Notamacropus eugenii: one gene and its partner. The protein of the gene in region 1 interacts with the protein of each later gene in a pairwise test. Links are inferred from orthologs where the notes say so. Each region holds a gene or a part of one and is shown in the gene's direction. Other genes may lie near its edges.

The links.
Region 2: the proteins of YWHAG (region 1) and FAM53C interact in binary tests that used the Homo sapiens proteins (3 or more experiments, as listed by UniProt). The link is inferred for Notamacropus eugenii from reciprocal best matches to the Homo sapiens genes YWHAG and FAM53C.

The regions. Positions count from the first base shown.
Region 1 is NC_092873.1:51,333,322-51,341,125, reverse strand, and holds the start of YWHAG (14-3-3 protein gamma), read left to right. Parts: upstream 1-4,794; 5' UTR 4,795-5,082; coding exon 5,083-5,169; intron 5,170-7,804. UniProt on the Homo sapiens protein: Adapter protein implicated in the regulation of a large spectrum of both general and specialized signaling pathways. Binds to a large number of partners, usually by recognition of a phosphoserine or phosphothreonine motif.
Region 2 is NC_092872.1:365,474,897-365,482,763, forward strand, and holds the start of FAM53C (protein FAM53C), read left to right. Parts: upstream 1-4,767; 5' UTR 4,768-5,270; intron 5,271-7,867. Other genes in the region: oocyte-specific histone RNA stem-loop-binding protein 2-like, read left to right, coding at 641-684, 1,127-1,222, 1,336-1,440, 2,501-2,674, 2,918-3,038, 3,705-3,899.

The DNA.
Region 1 (7,804 bases):
CATGGCAATGTTTTTTTTTCTGTTTTTATTTTGTATTTACGTTTAAAATTTTTAAAAATTTACAGAGAGGGAGAGAGAGAGAGAGAGAGAGAGAGAGAGAGAGAGAGAGAGAGAGAGAGAATAATGTTTGATCATGTACTTAAGAAAGGAAATCCAAAGCAGGAAAGGCAGTCAGAGGTTCAGGTAGAAGCTTTTCTATTTGGTACCATGCTCCAATGTGGGAATGGTCAAAGGTTTGGGGGTGGAGGAAGAGACCTCCTATCCTCCTACCTCCTTACAGGAAACCTAGCTACAGACCTATTTGCCATATGGGAGTTAGTTTTTAATTGACACAACCATCCATGCCCATTCTGTTGTCAAAGGTAGGGGAAGGACCAAGGGACCTCTGAAGATTTGATATGAGATGTTAAAGTGCCAAATTCTTTCACTGCTGAGTCACACATACATAATCATATCAATAATAATAACGGCTGGTATTTATATGGCATTTTAAGGATCTGCAAAGTGCTTTAATATGTTAAATCATTTGATCCTCAAAACAACCCTGTAAGGTGGTCTTATCACCACCACCACCACCACCACCATCATCATCATCATCTCACAGACAAGGAAAGTGAGGAATAAGGTTAAGTGATTTGCCCAGGGTCACACAACCAGTAAGTGTCTGAGGAAGGATTTGAATTCTAGTCTTCTTGACTGCACGTCCCTAATTACTTTATCACCTAGTTGCTTCTGGCCCCATGTGATTGGCCATAAACAGTCCAGGAATCCCTGAATATTCTGTGAAATCCCTGTTACATGAACTCTGAAGGCAGAAGATGGGATGCTGTGAACAGAGAACAGCAAGTTGTCTGGTTTGGCTAAAATGTAACCCATGAGGGGGAATAAAGTGGGATCAAGGGTCTCTAAGTGGTTCAGTGGAGAGAGCACCAGGTCTGGAGTCAGGAAGACCTGAGTTCAAATTTGACCTCAGATACTTATTAGCTGAGTGACCCTGGGCAAGTCACTTCACCCTGTTTGTCTCAGTTTCCTCACCTGTCAAATGAACTGGAGAAGGAAACGGCAAACCACTCCAGTATCTTTGCCAAGAAAACCCCAAACGGCTTCATGAAGAATTTTCTCAACTGAAAGTGACTAAAACATAATCAGCCTAGAAAGATAGGTTGGACCCAAGCTATCATCAGGCTAGAGTGACAAAGAAGGAATTTTAATTTCATCTTAAACACAATGGGGATGCCCTGAAGCTTCTTGAGTCAGGGTGCCACATTCTATTTCTAGCCCTGAAAAGAAAAAAAAAGATGAATGAGACAAAGTCCCTGTCCTCAAACAGCTTATAATCAGGCGGGACTTCTTCCTCTTCCTCCTCAGGAAATGTGTGTGTGCTAGCCACACTGGATAGGAAAAACCGGAAACCTGCCTTAGTAATGGTCAGCTACTGGAACTGGAAGGACTAGGAGGGACATGAGAATATTGTTTCCAGGTGAAATGTATGGAACTTTATATAGTAGTAGCCCAATGTAAACATGGTAGCCAGGCCCAGAAACCTTTGGACAGCCAGATAGAAATAAGCAAACACAAGATGGCAGAACAAGGGCATATACTTTTTAGGCTAAAAAGGCCTGCCTGGAATTTTCTGTGTATTTCTTTGAATATGTTTAATATTGCAGTAAGTTTGAACTAAGAGCAGGACTGGTTTTTGTCTTTTTAAATTTTTAAAAAAATATTCCCACTACTTAGCACAGGTCTTGGCCCACAGTAGGTGGTTCATAAATGTTTGTAGACTTGACCTAGCTGGGGAGGTAGGAGAAACCTTTCACCCAGCTAAACTGTTTTCTGGATGTTCCTTCCTCACCAGACCTCTATCCTTAATCATCTACATGAACAGAAGGGGTTTGGAGTTGAAAAAAAGACCAGGGAACTCCAAACCCTAGAGCATTTACTTATCTACTTTTCCTCCTCTAGAAAACTAGGGGGTTGGGCTTCATAACCTCTAAGGTCCCTTCCCGCTCTAAATCTATGACTCTATTATGTATTCTTCCAGGGAAATGCAAGCTCCTTAAAGAGAGGGATTAATTGGTTTTTTTCTGTAGCCCTATACGGTAGACATTAGTAAACGTGTGTTAACATTATTCATTGAACTGAGGTCTTAGAAACAGGCCTCCTGGTCCTCTTCAGGACTGTGTGATAGTTTGGTCTTGTGGATAGTTTGGTCGTGTGTGTGTGTGTGTGTGTGTGTGTGTGTGTGTGTGTGTGTGTGTGTGTGTACCCTCATTTGAATTCCCAGGAGGCCCATAAAGTCCCAGGAGGACTACATAAGGATTGGAATACTGAGGGCTTAAGAGTCATGCACACAGTTTTTACTGTTCTCTTAGGAAAGTTGCAATGTAGGGCAGTTGGTCATGCCTGTTTCCTTTTTGCCTCAAGTAGTTTCATTTTGTTGATGAATCACAGTTCACTTCCCATTTATACCAAGGTAGAGAGAAGTGAGGAGCAGCCCTCTGTGGCCCTGTCATCCAGGCCCCTCCTTCCTTCCTACTGAGAGCCAGGTTGTTAGCTAGATGCTCTCCCTGGGCATGAGATCACCATCCTATCGATTGTTCCAGCTGGACGCGACCTTCATTTTGTAGTGGGAGAAAGCCAGGCCCCCAAAGCATAAGTGATTCACCCCGGGTCACACAGTGACAGATATCAATCAAGAGCAGGAATCTCCATACTCTATGTCCAGGACTCTTTCCAAATGACCATGAGGCCAGAGTCCATGACCTGTGATGGAGAGAAATGTTGATTCATTCCAGAAGACAGGCACTGGACTTCTGATTTCATTAAAATCTATAGTGAGGAAACTCTGTCAATGAAAGCCAGAACCTTCTCTGCAACCTCTAAATTTAGAGAGTTGTCTGCAGCCCTTAGAAATCAAATGACTTGCCCAGGGTGACATAGCCTGTGTTAGAGTCAGGACTTGTACTCAGTTCTTTGTGACTCTCTGTGCATTGTGTACCCAACCAAAACCAGACTATGTCCTTAATGGAGGAAAGTGTTAGAATGTTCATGGACAGCTTTGTTGAGGAGTAGGGATGGACCTTAGCATTTTATTCTGTTCAGGCCATTTCAATCCAATTCAACAAGCATTTATTAGGCACCACAAGCAACAAATTGGTAAAATATACATTAAGCATTTTACTATGTACCAGGCGCTGTGCTAAGCACAATAAATATAAAGAAAGGCAAAAACTCAGGCTTTCCAGGAGGGACAGGAGGAGACAGCAGGCAAGCAACTGTGTGCTGGCCACACTGTATAGGAAAAACCGAAAATCTTCCTTAGTAATGGTCAGCTACTGGAACTGGAAGGGCTAGGAGGGACATGAGAATATTGTTTCCAGGTGAAATGTATGGAACTTTATATAGTAGCTCAATGTAAAAATGGTAGCCAGATCGATCCATCGATCTATCTAATATTGGTCCGTATTTATTAGGATATATGTCTATTGAGATCTGTCCATATCTGGATATATCTATCTTGTATCTATCTAGATACACACCTATGTCTATCAAGGCCGTTAGATATTTCATATATCTATCTTGCAAACAACACACAATGAAGGCATCTCTATCTGCAGATTGCATATCTATAGATATGTAAGGCTATCTGCATCTGTAGATTGTATCTCTATAGATAATAGAAAGATCTCATTTGGTCTCACTTGGTCCCAGCCAGGTTAAACTGGATTTAATCTCACTGGAGGCAGGTGGAAGGGGGTGATGAGCTGGGTGCTGAAGGAAGGACTCGCGAGAGTCCAGGACACCGGGATGGGGTGGAGGAACATCCCAGGCTCCAGGTGCAGGGGACGGAGAGAAGGGACTAGGGGTCTGGGTTGTCCAGGGTCCTACTGGGGATCCCAGTGCCTGCCCTCAGGGGCCTTCCACTCACTCTCCCGGGGATCACCATAATAGCTAAGTGGGAGGACACCGATCCAGGAGGGTGGACGGTTCTTGGGCTGAGCCCCGAAGGGCCTGGGGATCGGAGGGGGAGGGGAACAAGAGGAGGGGGGCAGTTAAGGAAGTTCGGTCCCAGGTTGTGGGGGGTTTTTACAGGCCAGCAGAAGATATTGGATTTGATCCCAGGGGTAGTAGGGAGCCACTGGAGCTTACTGAGCAGGAGGGTGACAAGGAAAAGAGCGCCCACCCCCACCCCCCATTCAACCAGGGTCAACATCCCTAGAGAACAGGATTGGGAGGAGGAAGGGAGGGAGGTGCGCAGGCCCGGGCCGGGCTGGGCTGGGAAGGGGGGAAGGGCGGGGCTGGGCAGAGAAGGAGAGGGCGGAGCCTCCGGAGGCAGTGAATCAGCATTCCGTCTGGGTGACGCATGGCACGCCGCGCCCTCCCTCCCCCACTCCTCCATGGTTGCGAGTACAACCCGGGGAGAGGGGCGCGCCCAAGGTGGCGCTCCCACCCCCACCCCCGCCCCCTGTGGCTCAGGCTCTCTCCCCCAAGTCCCTCCCTCCTTGTGTAAGTGCCCTGCTGCTAAAAGCCCCACTCTCCTCGGCCTCTCCCCTCCTTCAAAGACCGAGGGATTTCCGCGCAAAGCCTCCTGGGAAGTGTAGTCTTCCCTTCGTCAGCCCAGACGTTATCAGAGGATCTCGCTCCCCGTGGACAGAACTACACGTCCCAGGGGTCCTCGCGACGAGGCGGTGACGGGAGAGGACGAGGAGAGGGCCGAGGAGGCGGAGGGGGGAAGGGGGTCGTGGGGCGGGGCCTCGAGCTGACGTCAGGACCGTGGGCGTGGCCGGAGGGGGTTGTTCTCCCGCGGCACGCGCAGCAGCCGCAGCCGCCTCGCGCCGGGTTCCTCCTTTGCAGCACGAGCCTCAGCAGCAGCAGCAGCAGGAGGAGCAGCAGCAGCAGGAGCAGCAGCAGCAGCAGGAGCCGGAGCCCGAGCAGCCTCTGCCGCCGCCGTCCCGCGGACGTGATTGGTCGGCCTGCCGCCCGGGCTTGAGCCGTCGCCGCCGCCTCTGCCGCGCGCGCCTTCCCCGCCGCCGCCCGCAGCCCCGCAGCCCCGCAGGAGCCGGCCCGAGCCGCCCCGCGAAGATGGTGGACCGCGAGCAACTGGTGCAGAAAGCCCGGCTGGCCGAGCAGGCGGAGCGCTACGACGATATGGCCGCGGCCATGAAGAACGTGAGTGCCCCCTCCCTCTGTCGCGACAGTGCCCGGGCGGCCCGAGAGCCTTGTCGCGATAGGCCCCCCCCCCCCCCGGCCTCGTGTCGCGACAGGGCGGATGGCTGGCGTGAGGCCTCCATCCCCATCCTTTACACTGCTGGGCTGCCAGATGGGGGGGGGGTCACCCTTTGTGCCCTCCCTGCAGTGTGGGGGGCGTTGGGAGTAGGTGGGGTGGGGCTGGGGGGGGCGCCGCGTCCATGCGGTCGCTCTTTGGAGGTTCCTCTTTCTCTGTCTGTCTGGGCGGCGCCTCTCCCATTCACTCGCCAGCCTGCGCCTGCTTTCTCCTTTCTGCTCCCCCCACCCCTCCCTCCCCTCCCCCCACCCCGGAGGAATTCAGGAAGGGGGAGTCGGGGTGGGGGGCAGAAAAATCCCTGGGTCAGTTAAAAAAAAACCCAGTCCTTCCGAGATCGCCGTGCGTGGCTCTTATTTGCTCAGTTTCTTCTTTAAAAATGCCCCCACCTCCTTCCCCTTCCTTCTTCCTGCCTTCGGGGAGGAGGGATGGGGGCTGGGGGGGGAGTATTTTACCGTTTTATCATTTTCTTTTCATTGTCTCGAACGTATCTCCGTTTTTTTTTCCCTCTCAGACTTGTCAATTGAAACATGCGGTATTTCCCCTTAAAATAAAGGTTATGCATCAAGCCTAGTGGTTCAATTTGTGACATTTGCTGTTTCTTTTCTAAATGCAGGCATACATCTATTGAAATCCTTATAAGTTAAAAAAAAATCATCTCTCTGATCTGATCTTGCAAACAAAGCGATCGTGGGAGGCAGTATCAAGTCATTCCAGAAGATTCTGCATTTGTCATATTGCAGAGAGGCTAGACTGGGTGGAGGGAGGGAGGGGTTGCTTTAAAGGGGGAAAATGTTTTTTTATTTGTTTCGTGACACAGGTCTGAGCTCTTTTTTTCTCCTTTTAATAAAGAAAAGGCTGGAGTGTCCCCTCCTGCTGATGAAAAGGAAATGCTGATCTTGAAATGTCGCAGCCTGTCTGGTGCACAGATGTCTGCCTCTATTGCAGCATTTTTTCAGTAACCTTACATTTATCAGAGGGGCAACATGTCAGCATGCTCGAGAACGGGGGAGGGAGGGAGGCAGGGTTGGAACGGGACCAAAGGAACCCTGGAAATGGCAGGATCTGATGGATGACTTGAGTGCCTCCGTTCTAATATTTGGCAGGCTCTTTTCAGGTATCCTTGACAAATAGATAACAAAGGTATACAGTTATATAACTAAGGTATTAAAAATACACCAATTAAAAACTGGATGACTGAATAAGCCAAGTATATAGGATAAATCCTCCTTAATTGGAAGATCCCATGTATTATCATGATTTCAGTCACACCTATGTAAGTTGAACTGGATCATTAAAGTAGGCCATGCTGAAACGTTTTATGTTTAGACATTTAAAAAGAGTATTAGGAGGGTAGGAGCTCCCTGCTAGAATTATATTACAATTGAGGGTAGATGCTCTATCTAGCCTGTATTTCAACATAATATCGGTACCATTGATAGCTTTTAACCTTTCATTCAAACCTCAGTTTCTTCTTTTTGCAGTATATTAGCCTGGGCATTTTAACAGGCCTTGATCTTAAATGGATTTGTCTTGACTGCTGTCTTCCGAATCTTCTAATTCTTCCTCATTTGCAGTTTTTCAGGAAAGCTTATGACCTCGCACTCATTGCCTTAGCAACATGGTGATGTCACACATAATGGCACCGAGGCTGCAATGCGCCCGGGTGGTAGGGAGTGTTCGAATGGCCCATGGCCAAGGTAATGCAGAAATGTGATATAATACAAGAGCCGAGTGGGACTGAAAATTTTATTGTATATACCCTGCTGGAGAAAATGATATTTGTGATAGGATGAAGGGTTGTTCCACTGTCCGGAATATTTTTACCATATCACTTTGCCTTTAGACATACTAATCAGTGACCTCCAGATGTACATTGGGGCTGATCATCTTTCTATCTTTAATGTCACATCTAGCCATTCTGTAGGATGACAAACAGTGGAACACAAAGAACAATTGGTAAGCAGCTAATATTTGAATTTCTTGGTATGTTTACACTACACTTGGATTCAGCTTTAAACAAAAACTTAAAGTTCTCCTAAAAATGAACTTTCTTGAACAAATAGGTGAGTTTATTACCTGTACTTTGGCCTAGTCGTAGAGCTCATTAATCAAATCACAGGATTTGGACTTGAATTAAGGGGAGTGTTTTTATGAAAAGTATTCACAAGGTATATAGTAGATTCAGCAGCAGCCTCGAAAGGGCCTTAGGAAGACCAGGGTTCAAATCTCACCTCCTTAGAGGAGTGTGGCAGCTTGATGGCTCAGTGGGTAGAGAGCCAGGGCTAGAACCCGAGTTCAAATTCCATCTTAGACACAAATGGTGGCTATGTAAACTTACAGTTAGCAAACAGGGAACTTGTCAGCACACTTTAGAATGGGGGAGGGAAACATGGAACTTCTAGGACTAAAGGAAACTAGGAAATGCCATGATTCCCCGTGTAAGTCGCTTAACCTCTTGCCTCAGTTTCCTCATTTGTAACATGAGGATGAAAATAGCACCTACCTTCCAAAGTTGGCACA
Region 2 (7,867 bases), on another chromosome or scaffold:
CCACACCTAGAAAGTTCAAACCTTCCGCCTGCCCCCAGAGCTGCGCGAGGAGCCTCCCGGCCAATCGCCGAGCACCTCCTAGAAGTCCCACCCCCAGACGCCTCCTGACCAATGGCCGTGAGTCTTCCCAGCGAATCCCACCCTCCCTCCCCGCCCCACCACGCGCGCCTCAGCCAATCTAATCTAGTCTGTAGACCCGCTCGCTGTGGCGTCACCTGCTGCTAGGCAGGACCCAAACTCAAAGAGATGGGCGGGACTCGGGATTGGGCGAATCTTCCGAGCAAGCGCGAGTCGGCGGCGGATTGGCTACGAGGTTACGGCGAAACCCGAGCTAAACTCCGCCTTCCGGGGAAAATCGGATACATGATTGGCTCATGCTTTGGCCATTCATCCCGTCCGCCCGGACCTCGCCCTTCCCACGCCTTCCACCCGGGAGATTTAAATCTCCACCCCCCTCACCCCCTCCCTTCGCTCCCTCTCGCCCCGCCCTCACCAGCTTATTTCTTTTGAATGGTGAATTTGAAAAACCTGGTGAGTGCAGGTGAGGGTTTCTGGGCTGTTTTATTCCCCCTACCTTCCTTTTCGCCTTAGCTAATGCACCGACTCCTCACCTTAGTGCTCTGAGAGGTGATGCGATGAAATGGAGAATCTGCCTTTAGAAACTCTGGAATTGAGGAGAGAGAGGTGTGTATTGGGGTGTGCAGGTTCTCCATTCCTTCCTTGGAAAGGAGTAGGGGAACGAAGGGCTTTTCCTGCTGCTGTCCAGTTTCAACTATTGTAGCCTGACCTCTCCTTTTTGCACCTTTCCGTGCTCTAAGCACGTATGGTATCGTGAATGACTGACTACCTCTGTCCTACCAGACTGTAGTTAAAAAAAACATCCTGAAAGGAAGAGAGTGTGTCTTATCTGAGCTCGATCTCCCCCAGGACCTGCAAACAGTAGGTGCTTAATAAAAGTCCAATGTAAGTTCGTTTGCTATTTATTGAAGCTCTGAGGATTGTGGAGGGTGTTTTAGAGATGTGGACACTAATTCAATCTGGCTGTCCAGGATCCAGATGAAGGATGTGTTTCTTTGGAAAAAGCACAGCAATCACCTAGTCATTCTGATACCTTCTTTACTTATAGAACCGATAAGAACATGCTTGGGCTTGGGAATTCTTCCTCTGGAGTGAAGATGGTGAGTGTGGGAGTCAGCACAGAGAACAGCTGCAGAAGGTGCAGGTGAGTTATGGAGTCTGGCAGATGGAGTGAGATGGCCGCAGTGTAAAGAGATGTTTAAGAACATTTTATGTTTTTCATAGCTATTTATTGATAGGACATTTATTTCTCCACAGGCAGGATGTAGAAACAGATGAGATTGTTCTTCGAAGGAGACAAAAGCAGATAGACTATGGGAAACGAACAGCTGGTTACCAGTGCTTCTCACAGCAAGTCCCTAAGTAAGAGCAGAGGGTTTGGGGATGGACAACATTTATCCTTTGAAGAACTGAAAATATCTTTTACCATCAATTGTTATCAATTAATACCAAGTCACCTTGATATTCATATTAGAATGCCTTAAGAAAAATTAGGAAGCCTATCAATTAATCTTGCTATTTTCTAAACATCTTTAAGCATTCTACATGGTCTATAATACTTGTTCTGATCTTGTTAATGGCTACCTTGTCTTCCTAAACCTTCTCATCACTTGCCTTTCTGCATCTTTATAAATAGAATCTTCTATTTAAAAATATTAGGCTAAACTTTCCTGGACTTATTCTGTCTCTTCTCTTAGACTTTGAACATGAGTCAGTACACTGTTATTCGTCAGTAAGGGAAGGCATTTTAGAGGGGTTCAACTTTGCAAGTAGCATGGTATAATAGAAAGAGTGGGGAATTTTGAGTCAGAGGACCTGAGCTCAAATTCTAGCCTTATTTACTGTAACTCATGTGGTCTTGTGTACAAGTCATTTAATATGCAAGTATTTATTAAGTGTCTACTATATGTTAGGTAGAAATGAAATAGTACCTTCCGTCAAGGCCCTTATGTTCTGAAGACAACCTGTACACAAAAGTATACAAGGTAATTTTTTTTTTTAGCGGGGGGAGCTGAAGGGCATAAAAACTTCATGTAAAAGGTGGACTTTGACCTTTGCTTTGAAGGAAATTAAGGATTCTGTGAGGTAGTGGTGAGGTAGGAGTGCATTCTAGGGATGGGATATAGCTACTGCAAAGTTCCAAAGCTCAGTCTCAGTTTTATCAGCTATAAAATGAGGGATTTGGTCTAAGCAGTCTCTGAGGTGTACCTTTCAGCTTTAAATCTGTGAGCCTATGAACATTGTTCTAAAGTTAGTCTCTGATACCTGCAAACAATTAATGAACTATGTCCAACAATGCTGAAGAATTCTTTCTTCAACTAGGCTGATTCTCAGTCATGCCAATAACACAGGAGCACTAAGCCTCTTCCATCTATTTATAGGTGTCTTTGACCATAATTTAAGATGTTCATTTTATCTCTAGGGCAACACGGCAGTCAGGACTTCACCCTCAAACACCTGACAAAAGCCGAAGGTACAGCCGACGTTCCTGGGATGCCCAGATCAGGCAATGGCGACGAGCCCTACATGCTTGGGATCCTCCCAGTCAGCCTTTGCTGTTCAAAGAGAATGATATGTGTTCTTGTACCTGGCTACAGTGAGTTGTGGGATTTGAGTTCTAAACCTTCTCTTCCTTTGACAAAAGCTAGGGTATAAGAGAAAGGACAAGGGCCAAAGTTTCTTAATGGAGTCATTGTAATGATACCTGAACCCTAGACTAATCTAAACCTTTTTCTTGCTCCCAGTTCTGAGAACAGCTACCTATATAAAAAATGGGTCTGCATTGGTCCTGGTTCATTCTGCCTTTGTTTCTTCTCCTAAATAAATATACCTTTGCTAGGCAGGGAGTGGAGAATATTTCAGGGAGCATGGATTCAGGATCTTCAGATGACTTCTTGAAAGGCTGGCTCAGTGTTCTGACTCCCCTGTGGAATCTAAATCAAGACCAAATGAGAACCCAGGTAGGTTCATAGGAACAGTATCAAAAGAGTTGTCTTTCAGGGTGTGGGTATATTTCATAATGAACAAATAAATCATTTTATTTATAATAATTTATAATACATGTTGTGTATTACATATTACATATAATAATTAATAATATATGATAATTTTATATAATAATTTATAATAAATAAAATATTACTTCATAATGGCTGAATTAAGGCTGAGTTCAAAACAGGTGTATACATACTAGATAAACTGGGGTTGGGATAGTTAACTGGGAATTGGAACGAGTAGAGTTTTCTTTTTATGCAAACAAGTCAATGATATATTGATCAGAAAGCTTAAATATGGAAATTAAACAAGTGTGGTGGGAGAAAGCAAGTATCTCAGAGCCCTAATTTTAGCCTCTGCCCCATAAAGTTACATTATCTACAAGCGTACTACCTTAAACTTTAGGAAGAATTGTCTGTTTAATACTTCACAGTCTGATCCTTACCAGGGTTTTACTTTCTGTTGTAAAATGTTTGCGGTTATTCTCTAGGAGTGGGGAAAAGGGGCATAATGAAGATCCTAATGAGTACTATTCCCTCCAAGCTAAGCTACCTCTGAGAAAAACAGGGAGGATAGATAGCTATTGTCTACCTACCTCTTGAAAATGGGCCCTTTCCCCTCTCTCTTTTCAGTTTGACATCTTGGCTCTTATCACCTCACTTCCCTGTCTCCAGCTGGAAGCTCCCTGTCACTGGCTATACTGCTTGGGAGATGGAAGCCACCTACCACTTTCAGTGTTGGGGCATGTGGAGTGTGCTGAGAAGACAAGGCCTTTAGGAAATTGGGCAGGGAGGCTGCCCAGCTTTCTGGGGCAAGACCCTCATTGACCCTTGATGAAGAAAATGCCCCCTATTTAGCTTAGTGTCCTGCCTTACTCTTTTTTTTCTTCTTTCCTGTTCCTTCCCTGTTTTACAAACTTGCCAGCCTGCAATAAGAAAGCCCTTCTCCACTGGCTCAAATTTGGGTTAAAATCACTTCTCTACCCCTTTGCCTCTCTGATGGCATGACTGTGGATTCATTTATTTCCCTTGGCATTCATTCTCAAGTCTCTGTCCCTGTTTTCCTCTATTTTAGCCTCTTTCATCTAGGTCTTTCTTGGGGGGGATGAGTTTTACTCGTAACTTGTGCAGTTACTTCAGACTGAAATCCTGTGGCTTTGGTGAAAGAATAGCCCTTTCCTCTCACTGACCACTCCTGCTTTATGGACAAAGAAGGTCTTTGCGAGGGTCTGACCACTTCTACACAAAGAATGAAAAGCGGGGTTTGATAGAGGAGTCCTGAGGGCGCTTCCTCTAGAATACATTGGGGGTGGGGGAGGGAGGAGGAAAAGAGCTGAGCTTATTATGATGTCATAATCACAATCCAATTACCTCATCCTGCTGTGACTGGAAGGGCGGGGGATGGGGGGCGTTGATGGAAGAAGAGAAGGGGCCCAGGCCCACTGAGTGTAGTAATGGACGTGCAGGCGCGACTTCGGGAGAAAGAAGAAAGGGCTGGGGATGGGGCTAAGGTCCTGGGATCCAGATCGGGAATTCGCCCCCCCTGCCCCTCAGCCTTTCCTGCTGCCCGTTGTTCTGGAACCCTATTCAAGCAGGCCCCAAGTCTGGCCAGCATTGGACTACACCTCCCATCTGCCCCTGGGTCGCAGACGAGTCCTCAGTGGCAGGGAAGAGGGGTTTTTTTCAAAGCAGTGGCAGTATAGGGAGAAATAGAAAAACGAACACCGGGGTGCGAGGCTTGTTCTGCTAGAGGTCAAGGTCAGAGAAGGCGTCTTAGTCAGACTGGAGCAGGAACTGTAGAGAGAGGGCCTGAGTTTGTTTACCTCTGTCTATTCTCCCCACTGGCCCGAAGTTAGTTCAGCCTAGAGCCGGTCCCTTCCACCTTCCGCAATTCGGTAGGGGAACCTAGTGGGGAGCAAGACCCCTTTGAGGCGAGGTACATCGAGAGGAGCAAGTGTTGCACCTTTTCCATCACGGACGCTACTGATTACCAGCAGTTTTTGGGGGAGGGAGAGGAAACCCCAGGAATTCTGGCCCTCGCACGGGGCTTCGGGGCAAGTCCTGGGAGTGGGGAAGCTACCCCCCCCTCTCTGGCAGGGGGACGATTGGTTCGCTCCGGCGTTATTTAAGGGCGCCGTGGGGCAAGTGGCGAGCTCAGAGCTGCTCCGGCTGCGGCCCTGGGAAGGGGACCGAGCTGCGGTACGTAGCGGGCGGGCGGGCCCTGGGGGCAGGTGGCGCTGGGCCCTGGGGCGGAGACCTCAGCTGCCCCTCCCTTCCTCCTTCCTTTCCCAGCTAGTCCCTCCTCACGGCCTGGCTTTGCAGGCCGCCCCGTTGCGGGGAGCCCAGGACTGGTGGGGGAGGGGGCCGCTAGAGCACCGTGTCCCCAGACATCTTCCCCCCCCCCCCCCCCCAAACTCCTTTACGGGCCCGGGTCCTGGGCCAGAAGGCTGGCGTTAGGGGGCGGGTAGCGGCTCCTCTGACGTCATCCGCCCCCACCCCCACAGGGTCATAGGTCACCTCTTGCCCCTCCCGTGGTTAAGGTAGCGGCAACCCAGGGATGGAGGGGGTAGTGTGTAGTCTTAATTGTGGGTGGAGAAGGGGTGGGCAGCATCCATCACACCCACCCACCCCAGGCACCACCAGGGCCTTGGAGAAAGGAACCCCTCCCCCGCCGTTGTTTTTATTCATACTCTAACCCCAAGCTGGGGGTGGGGGTGGGGGCGTTGTGATGGAGGGAGAAGGCCTGGAGTCCCCAGAAAATCTCCCGCCAGCCTGTCCCATTGAACTAAGTAGATCTACCCCCAAGGGAGACTTCTGCTCTTCAGCTCTGACTCTGTTTCTGAGACCCAAGTATCAGTGATCACTTAGATCTTTGGGGAGTGGGGAAATGTCAGTGCCCCATTGGGGAAGAGGGTTGGGTCTTCTGGGTACCTAAGAGGCCAAGCCAGATGCCTCCTCCCAAAAGGGCTTCGATCCTTGGCGGTTATTAGGCTGAGAAGTTTTAACTTGTTTAGTGTGGGTTCAGGACTTTCTTTATTCTGCAGTTAGAAGATAAGGTAATGAAGGAGCCAAGACTAAGCCTTCTAATGCTTTAGGTTTGGCCCTCTCCAAGCTAGGTTGCCTTTTTTATATCTTGGTTCAATTGTTTCAGGTTCCCTCCCCCCCCCCCCCACTCTGTTTTAAGAAACGTAGAGCCCAAAATGTCAGTTAATGTGATAGGTAGTAGTTGGCTTGTTGCAATGACTTGTGTATGACCACATCCCAGCAATTAAAATGCAGAAAATATGAAATTATCCTCTTCATCCTCTTGATTCTAGAGAGAAAAAAAACTAGGAGTTTCCTATGGCCCAAATCTTGAGAGCCTGAAAATGAGTTTACCTCACCCTCCAAAGGCTGTCCCTAGTATCTGAATGCAACTAGGTACCCTTTTCCATTGATGGATCTCCAAAAAGGCAGCTTTAAGAAACCAAGAGCATTTAGTATAACGTAGCTTGAGTTTTATCTTCTGTAACAAGGGCCTATATAGGGGAAGCAGCTGAGGAGAAATCTCAGTGTATAGGATTTCTGTAATGCTTTTTATTTTTTATTCTTTTTGAAGAGCATAGAGAACTTTCCCAGTGTCTCAGGAAACTTATCTTTCCATGAGATGGGTATGGATTAAGGAATATTCTCCCCATTTTACAGAAGGGAAAAAGTCGCATACAAAGCAGAACTTGTCATATACAAACAGTGCCCTTTTAGACTTATGTGAGTACACAGGCACAAGTGAATGAATGAGTGAATGGTGTCCAGCCAGAAAGGTAGAACAGATTGCCTTCTGCATCCTAATGATGTCATCACTCCCAGCATCCCTAGGCTTTGTGGTGCATTGAACAGGAAGAGTGAGAGATGATACCCTGCTGGACTCCTCTGAAATGATTCCTTGGATTTATGGAGTGTGTTGTTTCACAGAGCTCAAATTGCTTTTATCTCTTAATTACCGGTATACTATTATTTCTCCCTCATTTTAATTATGAAGAAACTGAGACCCAGAGAAACTGATGTTATTTGCCCAAGATTTGTACAGCATATAGCCAGTAAGGTTGGAATTGGTATTAAAACCTCGGTAGCCCTTAACTTCTTCCATTAAAGTAAGTTATGTACTCCAAAGGATTATATTGCCCTCTAGGTCATTCCTAAAATTGGATAAACAGAAGCCATTGACAGAGTAAGTTAACATCTTTTCAGTCCACTAGAAGTCCCACAGCTGATGTGGGTTTGGAGCCTGCTGTTAAATACATGTTCCTTCAGACTCGTATCAGGAAGTTGCTTCACTATCAGTATATATAGGATAGCCTTGGAGCCAGAGCAACCCTGAAATTTGGTAGAATGAGGTCATATAGAGCTGTAGGATTGGAATTGTTTTGCTCACCAGTTTTTTAGGTTTTCATTCAAAATTTTTAGGAGGCATTTCTCAAACATGATCATTCTATCAAAGAAAACAATAACTTAGTAATTCAGATTTAATGCAGGGCAAAATTCTGTTCCGCAAGAACCACACATTTTATCCTACTTCTCTGTGGTTTAGGCACATTAGAAAAGAACACTTCTCTCGTCAAGAACTACAGGTGAAGTTTCTTGGCCACTGGTTTCATTGTCCTTGAAAGAAAACATTCAAACTTACTATCTGACTGAGCAAAATTGAACTTTGGACATAGTGTGACTGACCCCTCAGCAATTGGCACCCCACTGAGGTCTCATGTTACTTTTTGTACAACTTGAGTGTATTATTTTGTATTGTTTGTTATATTTGTATA